4 linked regions of the Coturnix japonica genome follow. The protein of the gene in region 4 interacts with the protein of the main gene of each other region in a pairwise test. Links are inferred from orthologs where the notes say so. Each region holds a gene or a part of one and is shown on either strand. Other genes may lie near its edges.

What was found.
Region 1: the proteins of TCEANC (region 4) and OBI1 interact in binary tests that used the Homo sapiens proteins (3 or more experiments, as listed by UniProt). The two-hybrid records come from large-scale screens. The link is inferred for Coturnix japonica from reciprocal best matches to the Homo sapiens genes TCEANC and OBI1.
Region 2: the proteins of TCEANC (region 4) and Sjoegren syndrome nuclear autoantigen 1 homolog interact in binary tests that used the Homo sapiens proteins (3 or more experiments, as listed by UniProt). The two-hybrid records come from large-scale screens. The link is inferred for Coturnix japonica from reciprocal best matches to the Homo sapiens genes TCEANC and SSNA1.
Region 3: the proteins of TCEANC (region 4) and CSRNP1 interact in binary tests that used the Homo sapiens proteins (3 or more experiments, as listed by UniProt). The two-hybrid records come from large-scale screens. The link is inferred for Coturnix japonica from reciprocal best matches to the Homo sapiens genes TCEANC and CSRNP1.

The regions. Positions count from the first base shown.
Region 1 is NC_029516.1:137,629,618-137,633,179, forward strand, and holds part of OBI1 (ORC ubiquitin ligase 1), read left to right. Parts: intron 1-3,201; coding exon 3,202-3,337; intron 3,338-3,562. UniProt on the Homo sapiens protein: E3 ubiquitin ligase essential for DNA replication origin activation during S phase.
Region 2 is NC_029517.1:13,930,489-13,934,664, reverse strand, and holds the start of Sjoegren syndrome nuclear autoantigen 1 homolog, read right to left. Parts: upstream 2,810-4,176; 5' UTR 2,804-2,809; coding exon of another isoform or gene 2,763-2,803; 5' UTR 2,761-2,762; coding exon 2,744-2,760; exon of another isoform or gene 2,648-2,743; intron 2,199-2,647; coding exon of another isoform or gene 2,182-2,198; exon of another isoform or gene 2,039-2,181; intron 2,017-2,038; exon of another isoform or gene 1,872-2,016; intron 1,840-1,871; exon of another isoform or gene 1,750-1,839; intron 1,425-1,749; coding exon 1,025-1,424; 3' UTR 982-1,024; exon of another isoform or gene 811-981; intron 1-810. Other genes in the region: WAC (WW domain-containing adapter protein with coiled-coil), read left to right, coding at 2,763-2,803, 2,926-2,962. UniProt on the Homo sapiens protein: Microtubule-binding protein which stabilizes dynamic microtubules by slowing growth and shrinkage at both plus and minus ends and serves as a sensor of microtubule damage, protecting microtubules from the microtubule-severing enzyme SPAST.
Region 3 is NC_029517.1:4,630,966-4,634,527, forward strand, and holds part of CSRNP1 (cysteine/serine-rich nuclear protein 1), read left to right. Parts: coding exon 1-220; intron 221-884; coding exon 885-1,181; intron 1,182-2,156; coding exon 2,157-3,140; 3' UTR 3,141-3,562. UniProt on the Homo sapiens protein: Binds to the consensus sequence 5'-AGAGTG-3' and has transcriptional activator activity. May have a tumor-suppressor function. May play a role in apoptosis.
Region 4 is NC_029516.1:110,838,927-110,843,139, forward strand, and holds the start of TCEANC (transcription elongation factor A N-terminal and central domain-containing protein), read right to left. Parts: upstream 2,815-4,213; 5' UTR 2,796-2,814; exon of another isoform or gene 2,701-2,795; intron 2,684-2,700; exon of another isoform or gene 2,561-2,683; intron 2,041-2,560; exon of another isoform or gene 1,068-2,040; intron 1-1,067.

The sequences.
Region 1 (3,562 bases), about 27 Mb from region 4:
GTGTAACAATGCTCATATAATGGCTGCTTCTGGATGAAAAAGAAGAGCTACCAGAATAAATACATATTTTTTTTCTTTCAGCTGCTGGTGGAAAACTGCAGAAAGCTTTTTTTCTGGTAAAGAAAGCAGTAAATAACAAGGGTGTATTTTTATGTATCTATATTATTGAAATATTCAGATGTTTACAAAGCATTGCTATGCTAATGCTTGCATTAATCACATAAAAAAGCCTCCTTAATTAGAGGTGAAAATGTACAGATGCTTGCAGAAATCATTTAGTCTTTCTATTCACACCTTCAGTAACTTGACTTTCTGCTTGTGTATAGACAGTCCTGAGGTTCCTAGGTGGTCTTATCAGAAGTTTTCAAACTACCAATAATCCTATAGTGTGTTAGAGGCACAGAAAGCAAATTGGAGAAGGAGCTGGCAGACATGGCTCTTAATTCACATCCGTTGTATATGAGTAGTAGGTGCTGCTACCTCTGAGTATCAGAAGATGTTTACTGGGCAAATATAGTGATGAAGGAATAGCAAATATTTCTTTTATAGAACCTTAATATAGACATGAATGTCAAGTATTGTAAGATTTGAGAGTTTATATTACTGTAAGTTGTAACACATGCCTCTGTGAGGTATGGGTATAAGGAAAAGTCATTTTCTTCTATATTGTAGTTAGTCTCTCTGTCCCATACTTATTTTCAAACTGGATTTATAGTTAATCATAGAATCATTAAGGTTGGAAAAGACCTCTAAGATTCAGTCCAGCTGTCTACCTACCACCGATACTGCCTACTAAACCATGTCTCTGAGTTCTACATGTACTGTTTTCTTAAGCATCTCCAGTGATGGTTATTCCAACACTTCCCTGGGCAACCTGTTCCAATGCTTTAACTAAATGCTTTTGGAGTATAAATTATTTTTAATATCTAATCTGAAACTTCCCTGGTGTAGCTTGAGGCCGTGCCCTCTCATCCTATCACTAGTTACATGGGAGAAGAGGCCGATGCCCACCTCTCCACACTCTCCTTTCAGGTAGCTGTAGAGAGCAATAAAGTGTTCCACGAGTCTCCTCCAGTCTAAACAATCCCAGTTCCTCTCCCCAGCTGCATCTCATAAGACTTGTTCTCCAGACCCAGCTTTGTTGCCCTTTTATGGACCAGGGTCTTGATATCTTCCTTGTAGTGAGGGTCCCCAAACTGAACACAGTACGAGGCACAACCTTACCAGAGCTGAGTACAGGGGACAGTCATCTCCATGCTCCTGCTGGTTGCACCGTTTCTGATACAGACCAGGATGCTGTTGGCTTTCTTGACCACCTGAGCACACTGATGGCTCATGTTCAGATGAGCTTCAACCAACATCCTCAGATTCTTTTCCACTATACAGCTTTTCAGCCACACCACCCCAAGCTTGTAGTTCAGGACCTGACACTTAATACTGTTGAATTCATCCCATTGGCCTCAGCTCATCAATCTAGCCTATCTGAGTCCCTCCGTGGGCTTTCCTACCCTCAGACAGATGAACACATTCCATGAGCTTGTTGTCATTTGTAGTGCACTCAATTTTCTGCATCCAAATCATCAATAAAGGTATTAAACAGGATAGGCCTTAATATCAACCCCTGGGGAACACCACTCGTGAATGGTCAGTAGTTGGATTTAACTCCATTTGCTGCCGTTCTCTTGGCCTAGACATCCAGGCAGATTTTTTTACCCAACAGAGAATGTACCTGTCCAAGCCGTGGGCTGCCGGCTTCTCCAGGGGAATACCATGGAAGACAGTGTTGAAGGCTTTAATGGAGTCTAGGTAGACCACATCAACAGCCTTTCCCTCATCCACCTGGTAGGTCACCTGGTCATAAAAGTAGGTGAGATTGGTAAACCAGAAACTACCGTTTGTAAACTCATGCTGGCTGAGCCTGATCTCCTTCTGGTTGACCATGACCGGCTGTGTGATTGCATTCAAGATGGTCTGTTTCGTAACTTTCCTTGATGCCTAGGTCTGGCTGATAGGCCTATAGTTCCACAGATTCTCCTTACAAATCTTAGTGATAGGCATCACATTCATGAGTCTCCAGTCATCTGAGACTTCCCTTCTTGACCAGAACCACTGAGAGTGGAAAGTAGCTTAGCAATTACCTCTGCCACCTCCCTCAGCACCTCAGGTGAATTCCATCTGGCCCCAGATAACATGGAAGAATAATGCAAAAGTTTGTTTACTCTGTTGTTTTGGTGGGGAGGGGGGATGTTTCTTGAAAGGAACTATGTCTGATATTTAAGCTGTCCCATTCTGTTCTAATGACTGGTAGCAATACATATCTTGCAGAAGGCTTCATGAATGATTATTGGTTCATATTTCTGGTCTATATTTTTGCCCAATATTGTTTTTAAAAGTTTATTTCCATAAAGCAGGTTATATGCAGGCTAGAGATAGAATCGTAGAATCACCAAGGTTGGAAAAGACCTAAAAGATCATCCAGTCCAACCGTTCACCTATTACTAATAGCTCCCACTAAACCATGTCCCTCAACACAATATCCAGTCTTTCCTTGAACACCCCCAGGGTTGGTGACTCCACCATCTCCCTGGGCAGTCCATTCCAGTGCCTGACCACCCTTTCTGAGAAGTAATACCTCCTAATGTCCAGCCTGAATCTCCCCTTCCATAGCTTGAAACCATTCCTTCTGGTCCTATCACTAATGACACAAGAGATGATTTATGATGTTGATCATTTCAGTGATAGCTCTCAAGACCAAGTCTTGATTGTTGCTAGGAGCTCTCTCTCATTCCCTTTCTTTTGGAAATGAGTGAATGTACGTGTTTTAGTCTTCCCCTGTGTAGGAATGTGAATTCATTTCATTGATGTGGTTGGCTGCTCTTCTTCAAGATGGCTTTCACACTGTATATCAATGAGCACACAGAACTGAGGATCTCTAGTTTTGCAAAGATAGTTGTAGCTGTACTACCTCCAATAATAGGGAAATTTGGTGCTGTAAGTCAGGAGACCACTCCTAGTCAGGAACAGCAGTGTCACTTTCCTCCTGAAGTCTAGACTTGCTTTGAGAGATTGGGGTAGTATATATTTGTATTCTATTATCTGAAAGTGTTTCTAAGTATTCATAGCATCTTTCTGTTCTTTTTTTTGTTTGTTTTTTGTTTGTTTTTCTTTTCCCCGTCTTTTCCTCCTTGTTGATGCTCAAAGGTCCGGCACCCAGTAATCTGTGTCAACAACCATGTCTTCTGTTCCATTTGTATTGAAGTCTGGTTGAAGAACAATAATCAGTGTCCAGCTTGCAGGATTCCCATCACACCTGAAAATCCTTGCAAGGAAATTATAGGTAAGGACAATTTGAGGCTTTGAAATAACTTTTTAGTGTTTACTGCTGGAGAAGATTCTTTTGTTTCCAAAGATATCTGAGTGTTTTTTCCATCAAAGCATGATCTAGCTGGAAGTATGCATAGTAACTATAAGATAAATATTGCAAAGACCGTGTATAATAACAAATTGATTATTGTAAGGCAGAAAGCACCCCACCATTGCAATTTTCTTTTGCAATCATGGA
Region 2 (4,176 bases), on a different chromosome or scaffold from region 4:
CATCCTCTCCATTCTCCTACTTGGGTTCTATTTAAATCTCACCTACAAGAATGTCGAGCAGCTGCATGTTTACTACTAATTCAATTCTGACCTCTCACATGCATTTATTTCCCTCCATTCTAGGTTGTTCACTATTCTTTCCAGCCTTATTGCAATATTAGATGGCCCTCATTTATATTGTACAGCTCCCTGCAGCACTGTGCCCTGCAAGGTCATGCCTCCCACTTGCACTCAAATCCATCTCTCACCATAGCATAACTCCTTTCTACTCAAGGCTTTAGAGTACAGCTTCAGAAGATACACAAACCTGACACAGTCTGTGAGGTTAATCTTTCATACCCTGCTTAAATCACATTTTCTCAAATTATTCCTCCAAAATTCCAGCTAAGTGAAAGATGATTGTCAACAGGGGCTGCACGTGGATCACGGAGAGAAGTCCAGACTCCTTAAGAAGGCTAAAAAACTAATTCCTACTTGGTCCCTAAAAGTCAAGCAACAAGTATAAGCTACTTGCATCCATTAGTTCTACAGTGCTTTTCTGTCTACACATGTAGGTAAGGGGAAAAAAAGGATATGGGAGAAAGACAGCAGGATTTCAGAGAAGCCATGAACACAGCTTTGGGTAAAAGAGCAATGGAAAAAATGCGAGCATTCTGTCCAGATTTCAAGTAACATTCTATCAAACAGCCATTCCACAGTAACCAGCCAAAATCCAGCCAATAAAACATTTTTCCTGTCTTTCAGAAGAGCCTTGAAGCATAACTATGTCCAAACTGACAGCTACATATCTGCAGTTTAGTTTTGCTGTGATTTAAGAGCAATTATGAACTTTCTTTAATAAGAAAACGGCAACTTTATTTCATCTGTTTTATCTACAGTGTTTCTAACGCATTTAAAAATTATGGGAAAGTGGAAAGGTTGGAAGAAAGGCCCCTCAGCTCATAGTGCTGTCACAGGGTGCTGTGTCTGACCGCTTCTCACCTAGTGGAATTTTAGAACTGGGAAGTGCAGACATTTAACAGCTTCAGGTTACATTACTTTTCAGTTCTGGCGGACGCTTTAAGCTTCCCACTTCCTTCTTCAGGACACTAAGCAAAGTTCTGGAACTATCCAAAATCTTCATGTAAGCAGCTTCAGTTTCAGCAAGAATTTTATCGAGCTCGTTCCGCGAAGCTACCTTCTGAGCCAGGTTTTCACACACCCCCTCCAACTGTTCATTGAGGGTTTGAATTTCATGCTGGAGTCTGCTTTTCTCCTCTTCTGCTTGCTGGATCTGTTTGTTCAGCTCCTCTTTTTGCATACACAAGTCTTCAATACACTTAACGAGCTCATTGTTGTAACCCTGAAGAACAGCTCCCTGCTGGGTCATCCTCTGCTCCTGTCTGTCCGTGAGCTTCCTGAGGTGTCCTCTCAGCTGCAGCCTTCTGCACGTTAACACAAAAACAAGAACAGAGAGAAAAACTATAGTTATAGTGTGATGCTATGTTTAAACACAGCATTGTGGGGAAAGATGTACTGCTACAGGCCAGTTCTGAGGGGGGCTTGTCACTTCCCTTTTCATTAAGGAGGCAGGACAAGATTCAGGCTCTGTATCATTGCATGGTTTGGGGCCCTTCAAGGCTATCAGTCCCAACACCATGCCGTGGGCAGAGCACCCACCCAGCAGCTCATGCTGCCCGTGGGCCCATCCAACCCAGCAGGGCTGGATCACTCCCAGCTCCTCAGGGCAGCGCTGCCCGTCCCGCTCACCCGCTCCCTCCACGCGTGAGGCGGCCCGAGCTCCGCCATCGCCTCAGGGGGAGCTGAGAGGGAAGGAGGGACGCGGCCCGGCCAGCCGCTTCCCCAGGGACATTTTAACAACCACTCCCTACCGAGCGCCTCTCGCCGAACCCAACGTACACAAAATGGCTCCTGCCTATACATCAAGGCGCCGGGCGGAAGGGGAGGGGGGAGGTGAGTGAGGGGAGACCTTCCCTTTCCTATCCCCCCCGCACCACCTCGGCTCCTTTCGCGGTCCCCCCCCATCGCCCCCACCTGCCTGCCGCTGCCGCCCCCGCTCGCTCCCCTCGGCCAATCGGCCGCGCCCCGCCAACGGCCGCGCAGGTCACGGAAATAGCCGAACGGTTCCGAAGGCGGCGTCACCCCGACGAGAGCGTGAAAGCCTCTCTACGGAAATAACCGATGTTTTCCGAAGACAGGTAGCGTTCGGGAGTGGAGGACGAGGCGGGCCGGCCGGAGGGGGGGGGAGAGCTACGGAACGAGCCGATGTTTGCCGAAGGGAGAGACTGAAGGGCGTTGGGCTCGGCGGAGACTGCCGATGTTTGCCGAAGGCAGAGTCGCCCGAGAGCAAAGGGGACAGAGGGGACGGAGCGCGTCGGAAAGAGCCGAAAAGAGCCGACGTTAACCGAGCGCGGCGTCGCCCGAGTTTCCCGGATGTAGTTGGAGGAGCGGCGACGGCGGCGGCGGGCGCAGCGGGGGGAGGAGGCGGCAGCGGCGGCAGCGACGGAGTCCGCGCTCCCGGAGCGCCTCAGCGGGGCCGAGCTGCCGGCGTCTCCCCTCAGGCTGCGCGCGGCGGAGATGGGCCCGTGAGCGCCGCTCCCAGCACAGCTGCCGAGCCGCCCCCTCCCTCCCTGCCCCCTCCCTGCCCCCGGTCGGCGGCGAGGCGGAGCGCCGCTCCCCTCCTCCCCCCTCGGCGCCCGTAGGCCCGGCCGCGGCCGTCCCTTCCTGGTCCCCTCACACTCACACACACAGGCCGGGCATTGATGGTAATGTATGCGAGGAAACAGCAGAGACTCAGTGATGGGTAAATCCCCTCCTCGGCCCCGCGGCTCTCCCCCCGCCTCCGCCATGTTTGGGCCCCTTCCCGGCGCCCGGTAACGGCCCTCACTAACGCCTCTCTCTCTCTTTCTCTCGCCTTCTCCGCAGCTGTCACGACCGCAGGGGGGACTCGCAGCCCTACCAGGTACCGCCGCGCCGGCCGCCGGGCCCGGGAGGAGGAGGAGCAGGGCAGGGAAGGTGGGGGGGGAGCTACTCCAGCCCAGGCTTCGGCCGCCGCCGCAGGCCGCGCTGCCCCGCGCGGCTCCCGCCCGGCCCGCGGTGCCTTGTAAGGCCCGAGAGGTGGGGAAGGGAACAGGCTCCGGCCCGCAGCCGGGGGAACGGAGCCGCCGCGCCGCTGCGATGGCCGGGCCGGTAGGAGAGGCCTAGCGCGGGGCCGGGGCCTAGCAGACGGGAGGTGCGAGCACAGGGGCGGGAGAGCGCGGCCGGGTCACGGGCGGAGGAGCCGAGAGCCGGGGGAAGGGGAACGTTGTCCTCCTAAAAACAAAAGGCGGCTTGTTCGCCCCCCGCCCCCCTCCCCGAGGCCCTTCTCCCCAAAACTGCTGCTGCGGGCTGTAACCTGAGCAGGGCATGATTTTAGACCCTGAACTGGGGTTGTCAGTAGGGCTTCGTCTCCACAGTTGCCAGTCTCTACAGTTGCCAGCTGCTGGGGGTGTTCAAAAACATCAGATCCTCTGGCTTTTGACAGTAACTTCAATTTAAGTATGATGAGTCCCGTAGTCTAATGCCTATGAGAAATACGAAAGAATAAAAATAAGAAAAATAAAATTATACCTTAAGGAGGGTGTGAGTCTGGGGAACGCTGTGTGTAGGGATACTGCTCTTCTTAGGGCATTTAACTAAACCATTTTATTACATTTCTGAGTGTTTCTATCACTGTGAAGTGTCATCTGATGGTCCGAGGCAGCTGTCAGTGACAGTTCATGTAATATAAAACACTTGCCACTCATGAGCTCGCTCTGCAAAATCAAGCAGATCAAAAAGAGACATAACTTGTTAGTTTTGGTAAATGTTCCAAAATGAATTGTCACATTATGTTCTGCCCTCTTAAATACCCCCCCAAATTCTAGATTTTTATTGTATCTGTTATGGGCTTGCTAGTACTGAAGTCTATCTGCAGAAGCTTAACGTTGATGCAAAAGGAAGTGGCCTCCATTACAGTATGGATATTTACAGTTCACTCTGTTTCAATATAACTGTCTCTTTATTTCTTTAGTACCAGCTGCACTTGTGCTTGTTTTGAGTGTCAGAGGTTTTGTGCCCCACTTACCGTTTAAAGTATGCAGTCCTTCACTGAGAAAATAGGAAGAAATTAGGCTTATCTTAACAGCAAATGTTATG
Region 3 (3,562 bases), on a different chromosome or scaffold from region 4:
CAATGTGGAGTTTGACCGGGTCACTGTGTTCTACTTCCCACGCTGCCAGGGCTTCACGAGCGTGCCGAGCCGTGGGGGCTGCACGCTGGGGATGGTGAGCAAACACAGCTCATCCCGACAGTTCACATTAGCAGAGTTTTCCAAGGAGCAAGAAAACGTTCGTCGGGAGAAACTGGAAGAGAAATTGAAAGAGGAGAAGTTGGAAGCTTTGAAATGGAAAGTAAGTGGCTGGATTGGGGGTGTCTTTTCTTATGAAGGTCTTTTCTTTGTGTTGGTCTTTCCAAGTCCTTGGGGCATTGATTCAGAACCTTCTGTGGGTCTCTGAGAAACATTGGTCAGTTCTCTGCCTTGAAAGAAGTGATGCTCAGCTCCCCTAGCAGGTGTTCACCAGGTGTTAATGTGGGACCTGAGTGAGATGCTGTGCACCCCATGGTCTATGGGCTCTCAGGGTTCTTTCTGGAGGCTCTGAGACAGATATTGGTTATGGAGGTGGCCACCACTGGGGCAAGTCAGGAATTGTCTGGACAGTGCTCTCAGAAGTATGGTCTGATGTTTGGGTGGTCCTCTGTGGAGCCAGGAGTTGGACTTGATGATCCTTATGGGTCCCTTCCAACTTGGATTATTCTATGATTCATTTATTGGAACAGGCTGCCCAGGGAGGTGGTGGAGTCACCATCCCTGAAGTTGTTCAGGAAACATGGAGATATGGCACTGAGGGACGTGGTTGGTGGGCATGGTGGGGATGAGTTGGGGTTGGACTAGATGACCTTAGTGGTCTTTTCCAATCTGTATGATTCTGTGATTTGTCCTGACTTGAGGTGTTGACGGTCACAGCTTGGTGTCCCTGACAGCTTTGTAACACCTTGCCTATCTTTTGCCCTCAGCTCACCATGAATGGCACAAAGGAATCAGAGGAAGCCAACCAGCTCACTATTGAAGACATCTCCGACGATGACATCGACATCAGCAACGTGGACCTGGAGGATGGCTTCTTCCTCCAGCCCTACCCAGCCAAGAAGAGGCGTGCGCTGCTCAAAGCTGTTGGGGTGAAGAAGATTGACAAGGAGGAGAAGCGGGAGCTGCACAGCATCCGCCTGTCCCGGGAGGACTGTGGCTGTGACTGTCAGGAGGTCTGCGATCCCGAGACCTGCAGCTGCAGCTTGGCAGGCATTAAGTGCCAGGTACTGCCCTGTCTCATGCATCTCCTCAAGGTGAAGTGGGAAAAGCTCTTGGAGATGCTGCTGGAAAGCATCCTCCTCCCAAATCGCTCATCCCATGGGGACGTGCAGGTGCACCCACAGGGTGAATGGCAGAAGGAGACGGACTGTGTGGGATGTCTTGGCAAAGAGAAGCTCTTTGCTCCTCCCACAAGGCTCCAATTTCTCCTCCTCCCTTGGTTTTATTTTTATTCTCCCTCTTGGTGTGTATCCCAACTCCCAGCACACGTGGGAGCATCAGTGTCAGCTCTCCAGGCCCACCTGCATATCACAGGGTAACCTCTGTAGCTGCACTTAGTTACCTTTATTCACTTCTTTTTTTACTTTATGTTTTCTGAGGTGGCTGCCCTGCTGTGTTTGGGGGGAGCATTCACTACTGAGGGAGCTGCTCACTTGCTCTGTGCTGTGGTTGCAGGCTGGGTGGTGTAGGGGGTGTGTGTGTGTGTGCAGTTGGATGTTCACAAGCAGATGGATGTGCTCAGGAGGACTCATGCTCCATGTGCATGTCACAGCCCCCCTCTAGTGGCTGCTCACAGCTGGGACGTAAAAGTGCCGCAGATACCAGTGGAGCAGTTTGTCCTTTATCCCGCAGAGAGGCAGAAGCTTGTGATATAGATCAGATATTAAATATCATGGTGCAATACACAAAAATTCACATTTGCCTACTTTTGGCGTATTACATTTTGCTTTTTTTGTGGTTGTTTTTTTTTTTTTTTTTTTTAACCCTTTGACTTTATTCAGTTGTACTGAAATTCACCTTTTTTAAGACAACTCTTCCAAAAAGCAGGTTGTGAGGGGTTTTTTGGTAACTTGTATTTTTTGGCTTGCTTTTAAACCCCTCACCCAATGCTGCAAGGTGATGTGTGAGCTTCTGGGGGTGAATTGAGGTGGTTTGGGCTTCGGGTGAGGGTCCTTACCCCTGTGTCCTTTTCCCCCTAGATGGACCACACTTCCTTCCCCTGTGGCTGTACCAAGGACGGCTGCGGCAACACGGAAGGCAGGATTGAGTTCAACCAGGCCCGGGTGCAGACCCACTTCATCCACACCATCATGAAGCTGGAACTGGAGAAGCAGCACCAGAGCAGTGAAGGGGTGGCAGAGGTTGAACCTCCCTTCCGGGAGCGGTTGCCTCAGCTGGGCTGCGCAGCGGCAAAGGGGCCCTTGGAGGAACGCACGGCACCGCTGGCCCCCACCTTCCAGTTCAGCCCTGAGTTGGAAGCCCTGGGGGAGAACAGCTGTAGCAGTGACATGACGGACTCCTCTATCTCCTCCCACCCCAGCGAGGACCTGGAGGAACCCTACGAGAGCCTCCCCTCTGACAAGTCCCAGTCGGACGTTGATGATGATGGCTTGGCACGCATCCTCCACTTCAACGATTCAGATGCCGAGGAGGAGGGAGACCACTGCCAGGACAACCTGAGCTGTTTCCACCCCGCCGACTTCTTTATTGAGGACCATGGCTGTGAGGCCAAGCCTGGCCCTGGGGCCTCATCCCACCTCTCTGAGTGCCTGGACGAGAATGCCAACCAGGACAGTGGTGGGCTGCTGGAGGAGGCCATGCACTCGCGCTGTGATGGGGTGTCATGCTGCGCCCCAGCCCTGGCTGAGTCGTGTTCCAAGAGCTATGCCGACCTCAGCCTTTCCTCTGACTCCTTGGATTTCTTCCAGTCTTTCTCAGACTATAACTTGGGACCCCTTTACAACTCCTTGAAGGAGTACGAGAACCTTGATAACTTCTCAGCGTTACAGTTTCAGTTGCCTAATTTCCCCGGTTTCCCGCAAGCTGGAGATCAGGGCTCCTGTTTCTTGGAGTCTCTCATTGGTTTATCTGAATCCGTCCCTGAAACCCCAGCCCCTTTCACAGACAATCAGCTTTTGGAGGATGCCATCAAGTCATCGCTGATGGAAACGGTGAAGGTGTGAAGCGCCCGTCAGGCTGGGGAATGCGAAGGACTGGCAGCGTTGTGGTGCTGAAACCAAAGCCGAACAACAGTGGGACGGGCAGACTTTCACTTGTGCTATGTGAAAAGGGTAAAGGAAAAGAATTAATAATAATCAGACTTTCTGAGCAGACAAACTATTTTTGGTCTTTATAGAATGTGGACGTTTTGACATACTGCAGCTACAATCAGTTCTCTTGCTGTTTGTGCAAAGATTTCTAAACTTTCATGATGGGGTTGGGAGGGGGGTGAGGGGAGGGAGGGATGAAGACTTTCAGATATGACTTTCCTTGTGTTTTGTATGCAAAGACCTGTTGAGAAATGCTCCTTGAGAATGTTGCCAGTCGTACACAACAGCCCCTTCTAGAACCGTTTCGGTGTCGCGGGAACTTTTTAAGACAACTT
Region 4 (4,213 bases):
GGAAAAAAAGTCATCAAAACACATGACAAGACCAGAATTGAAATCTGTAATTAACATCTTCAGCGGAGTGGGATATTCATTATCTGCAAGTAGAAACACAAGAAACAACCAGCAGGGAAACAACCAAGTAAAAGTAATAAGTATGCCTTCATCAATGACAAATGAGAAGAAGGGTTTCTGAAGAGAAAGCATTGTACACACAGCACGGCACTGCTTTGCTGTGTGTACCCAGTTTTCAAAAGACCTTAAAATACTTCAAGCTGAAAAGTGATACATACCCATAACCATAAAGTATTCCACTACCTAGACAATCACAGATTTCATCTCAGCTTCCATATTAAAAGGCAGTGTGATGAGAAACTAAAAATGCTGTTTTTGCACTGCTGCTCTGTAAGACAAGTGGCAATTGGATTTTAATCACCAAGGCTGATGTTGAGAACAAGCACAAACCCAGTACATTTTAAAACTTCTGGCTTCCTTCAAAGGTTGAGGCAGAGTGTTTAACACAGGGAATCCTGCAGAGCATTTCATATTAAGTCAGTATGTCAAGGAACATTTCTAGAATCCAGATACAAGTAAATACTCTGAGTCTACTGCATGTTTTCCATGTTCTTAGAGGGAGAAACAAAGAATTACTGATGCAGTGGCAACACTGGAGGGTATTTTCTAGCCAAAGTTCACATTGAACCTAAGCAGAGTAAGCCTTTCTTTCTTTCTTACTCACACATTCGTTGAACACTGATGTTTCTGCTGTGTAACAGGGCTTTGATGTTTTGCAGCATAATGGCAAAACCAAAAATCTACAGCCTATGTTCTTCTCCCAGGTACATGAATACTTTCTTTGGTTGTTTTGTAGATGGAATTCTGTAAGCTTGTTCTAATCTAGGGAACAGTCAGACACCCTGCATGCCGCCAAGGGGTTGTTGTTTTTTCTGCTGTCAGATATGCAAAAGCACTGATTGAAGCAAGTTATTCAGCAAATAGGAAAACAGAAGTCTAAAACAACTGCTGGTAGTCTACAAATATCCATTATTAGTTATGAAGCTTACACAATGAAACTTACTCACCTCTCTGGAGCATGGCACAACAGTGAGGTGGTGGAGTTGGCTGCAGTTTTAAATGGGAAAATGTTTTACCACTTGAGGGGGCTGTAGTACAGCAAACCCATGCAGCCTTGTGTAATAGTGCACAATGAGAAAGCCCAGCCTTGGGGATAAAACGATTTCCCTATGGCCTTTAGGAAATTTTACATTTTTAAGATACCTATTTGCATAATATTTGGCAAAATAAACCCTCAAAAAACAAACAAACAAACAACAACAACAACAACAAAACACCCTGTAGGCCCAAAGGTGCCTGGTCACAGACTGGAGGGAAGGTTTTAATCCCTCATCCAGTCTTTGTGCCATACACTGTTTTTTCATCCGACATTTAAAACATTTGGAATTTTACCACTACCCCACTTGATTTAATGCTATTTGGCAAATGCTGCTGAACAAACAGTCAGCAGTTTTCTGCTGTCTTCCTTGTTCCAAGAAGTAACACAAGGCATTTCCATTCTGCTTAATTTCAGCAAAGTATGGGAACATCCATCTGAATTCTAAGTGAAGATAGAAACTGGTTTGCATTTTCAATTAGGCTCTGTAATACTGTGCTGCTGAGGTACTTTCTTGCCAAATCATTACCATCTCTCACACTTGACCACATGGCATAATGAGTCACTGCATGTACAAGAATTAGCAATGGTGATCAATAAAAATCTAGTAAGTCAGTTTGCTTTTAAGGAGAAAACAAACAAACAAACAAAAAAATAAATAAAACAGACTACCTCAGGTTTGAAATACAGTCATCCCAAAACATTGTACTGAATCCAAAGGTTTTAAAAATGAAAATCACTGCATGGGGGAAAAACAAACAAACAAACCAGTGTGAGAGATTTTCTGCTAACTAATCATAGAATGATAGAATGGCCTGGGTTGAAAAGGACCACAATGGTCATGTAGTTTCAACCCCCCTGCTATGTGAAGGGTCATCAACCACCAGACCAGGCTGCCCAGAGCCACATCCAGCCTGGCCTTGAATGCCTCCAGGGATGGGGCATCCACAACCGCCTTGGGAAACCTGTTCCAGTGCATCACCACCCTCTGTGTGAAAAACTTCCTCCTCAGATCTAACCCAAATCTCCACTGTCTCATTTTTAAAACTAAGAAGCTAACCCTTGGGGAAAAAAACCTGCCCTCTCCAAAATCATTTGGGGTAAGTGCCTTGCTCCAGCCATACACCTTCACAGATTCAAAACCATAGTCCACTTTTCCTTAGTGCAGAAAACTTCCACTGATAAACCAAGACAGAGTAAAAATGCATCCAAGTCCATTTCCCCTCTTCCTGTCACCTGTCACACACTGACTGACGCCTCTTCTTCCCCCAACCGGGCCCGCCCAGCACCCATCCCGCGGTGCTCGGACACTGCGCCAGGCCCCACCGCCTCCCTCGGCCTCACCCTCGAGCAATATCGGTTAAGAGAAAGCTGTGTCGCTGGGGAATATGCAGCAATACGGACCCGTACCCCGTTACCTCCGCGCTGGGCCTCAATGCGGCGCAACCCTCCCCACCTCCCAGGCCGCGCTGCGCTCCGCCATGTCTGCGAGCGGGCCGGGTAGGGGGGGGGGGCAGCGCGGCCTGGTGCCGGCGGGACCCGGGGGGAGCAATGCCACGGCCTTTTATTCTTTCGCATGCATTGTACGCAGAGTATTCACAGTGATTCTGGGAAAGATGTGTATTTCTGGCAAACTTACGGGCGTATGATAGGGTTTATTCGCAATTACGGTGAAAATCCGTATGATTTTTACGTAAATGAGCTTGGTTTTATTCACTGATGAGGCCTATGCTGCCCTCTACTGACAAGAAAGGCTCCTGCCTCTTACCAAGGACGATTCCCAGGCAGAAACAGCCCTTTTGGTAAATACGTGAGTGACGTAATGCTTTTACAGTGGTCAACCTCGTTCCGTGTATTATACACAACTGGTTACGCAGTTGAAGTCAGGCTTCCTTTTTTGCCTTGTTTTTGTGCAGCAACAAAGTGTGGGACAAGTCTGAAGTTGTACAGAAGAGGAGCTGAAAAACTGGAAGAAGACAGCATGGCTTTTCAGAACTGGCGCAGTCTTCCTTTAGCAGGGAAGACACAAGGAGCATGATTAGCCCTGTGTGAGGAGTCTTCCCAGGAACAGAGATCAGAACAAAGGATGCCACTATTTGAGGGAGGTTCCTTACTCACAGCCTTCTCCATTAAACTATGTTTGGTCTAATTAATCACTGTTCCAGAAAATATAGGGGCTGGAGCATCTCTCTTATGAGGAAAGGCTGAGTGACCTGGGTCTGTTCAGCCTTGAGAATAGACTGAGAGGGGATCTGATCAATGTCTATAAATACCTAAGGTGCGGGAGGCAAAGGGATGAGGCCAGACTCTTATCAGCAATGTGTGGTGATAGGACAAGGGGAAATGGTCACAAACTGAAACATAGGAAGTTACGTACAAATGTGTGTAAGAACTTCACAGTAAGGGTGACAGAGCACTGAACCAGGCTGCTCAGACAGGTTGTGGATTCTCCTCTGGAGATGTTCAAGACCCACCTGGACTCTTACCTGTGCAGCCTGATCTATGGAGCCTGCTTTGGCAGGGGGGTTGGACTAGAAAAGTTCTAGAGGTCTCTTCTAGCCCCTACAATTCTATGATTCTGCAATAATGCTTTTTCAGTTACTCCTAAGTAAACCAAGGGATAAACATGATATACTTGTTATATTCATATACTTGTGTAATGGTATATATACATATCTTTGTGTTTTTGCAGGGTTTTCCAGGATAAAATCAGTGCTACAGTAACAGCTTGCTTTCCTTGAGATTTCAATGTTGGCTGTGCTAAGTATCTACTTCTCTAAAAAGAATAGACTTCTATTAAACAAGATAAGATACTCTGCCAGCTGATAAATTGTTAAATATCCACAGAAATATTTGGGAAAATGTTGGTTAGACAATTGGTGAACAGTTAATCTGTGCCATCAGACAAGAAACTTGCAAGATTGCCACAATGATTACTTTGTTTATTAACTTAGATGTACATTTATGAAAGAGTTTGCAGTTCCTGAGAACAGTGCAATAATAGAATCACAGAACAATGTGTTTCCTTTTAATGAAATAGAAATCTTTCTTCTAACA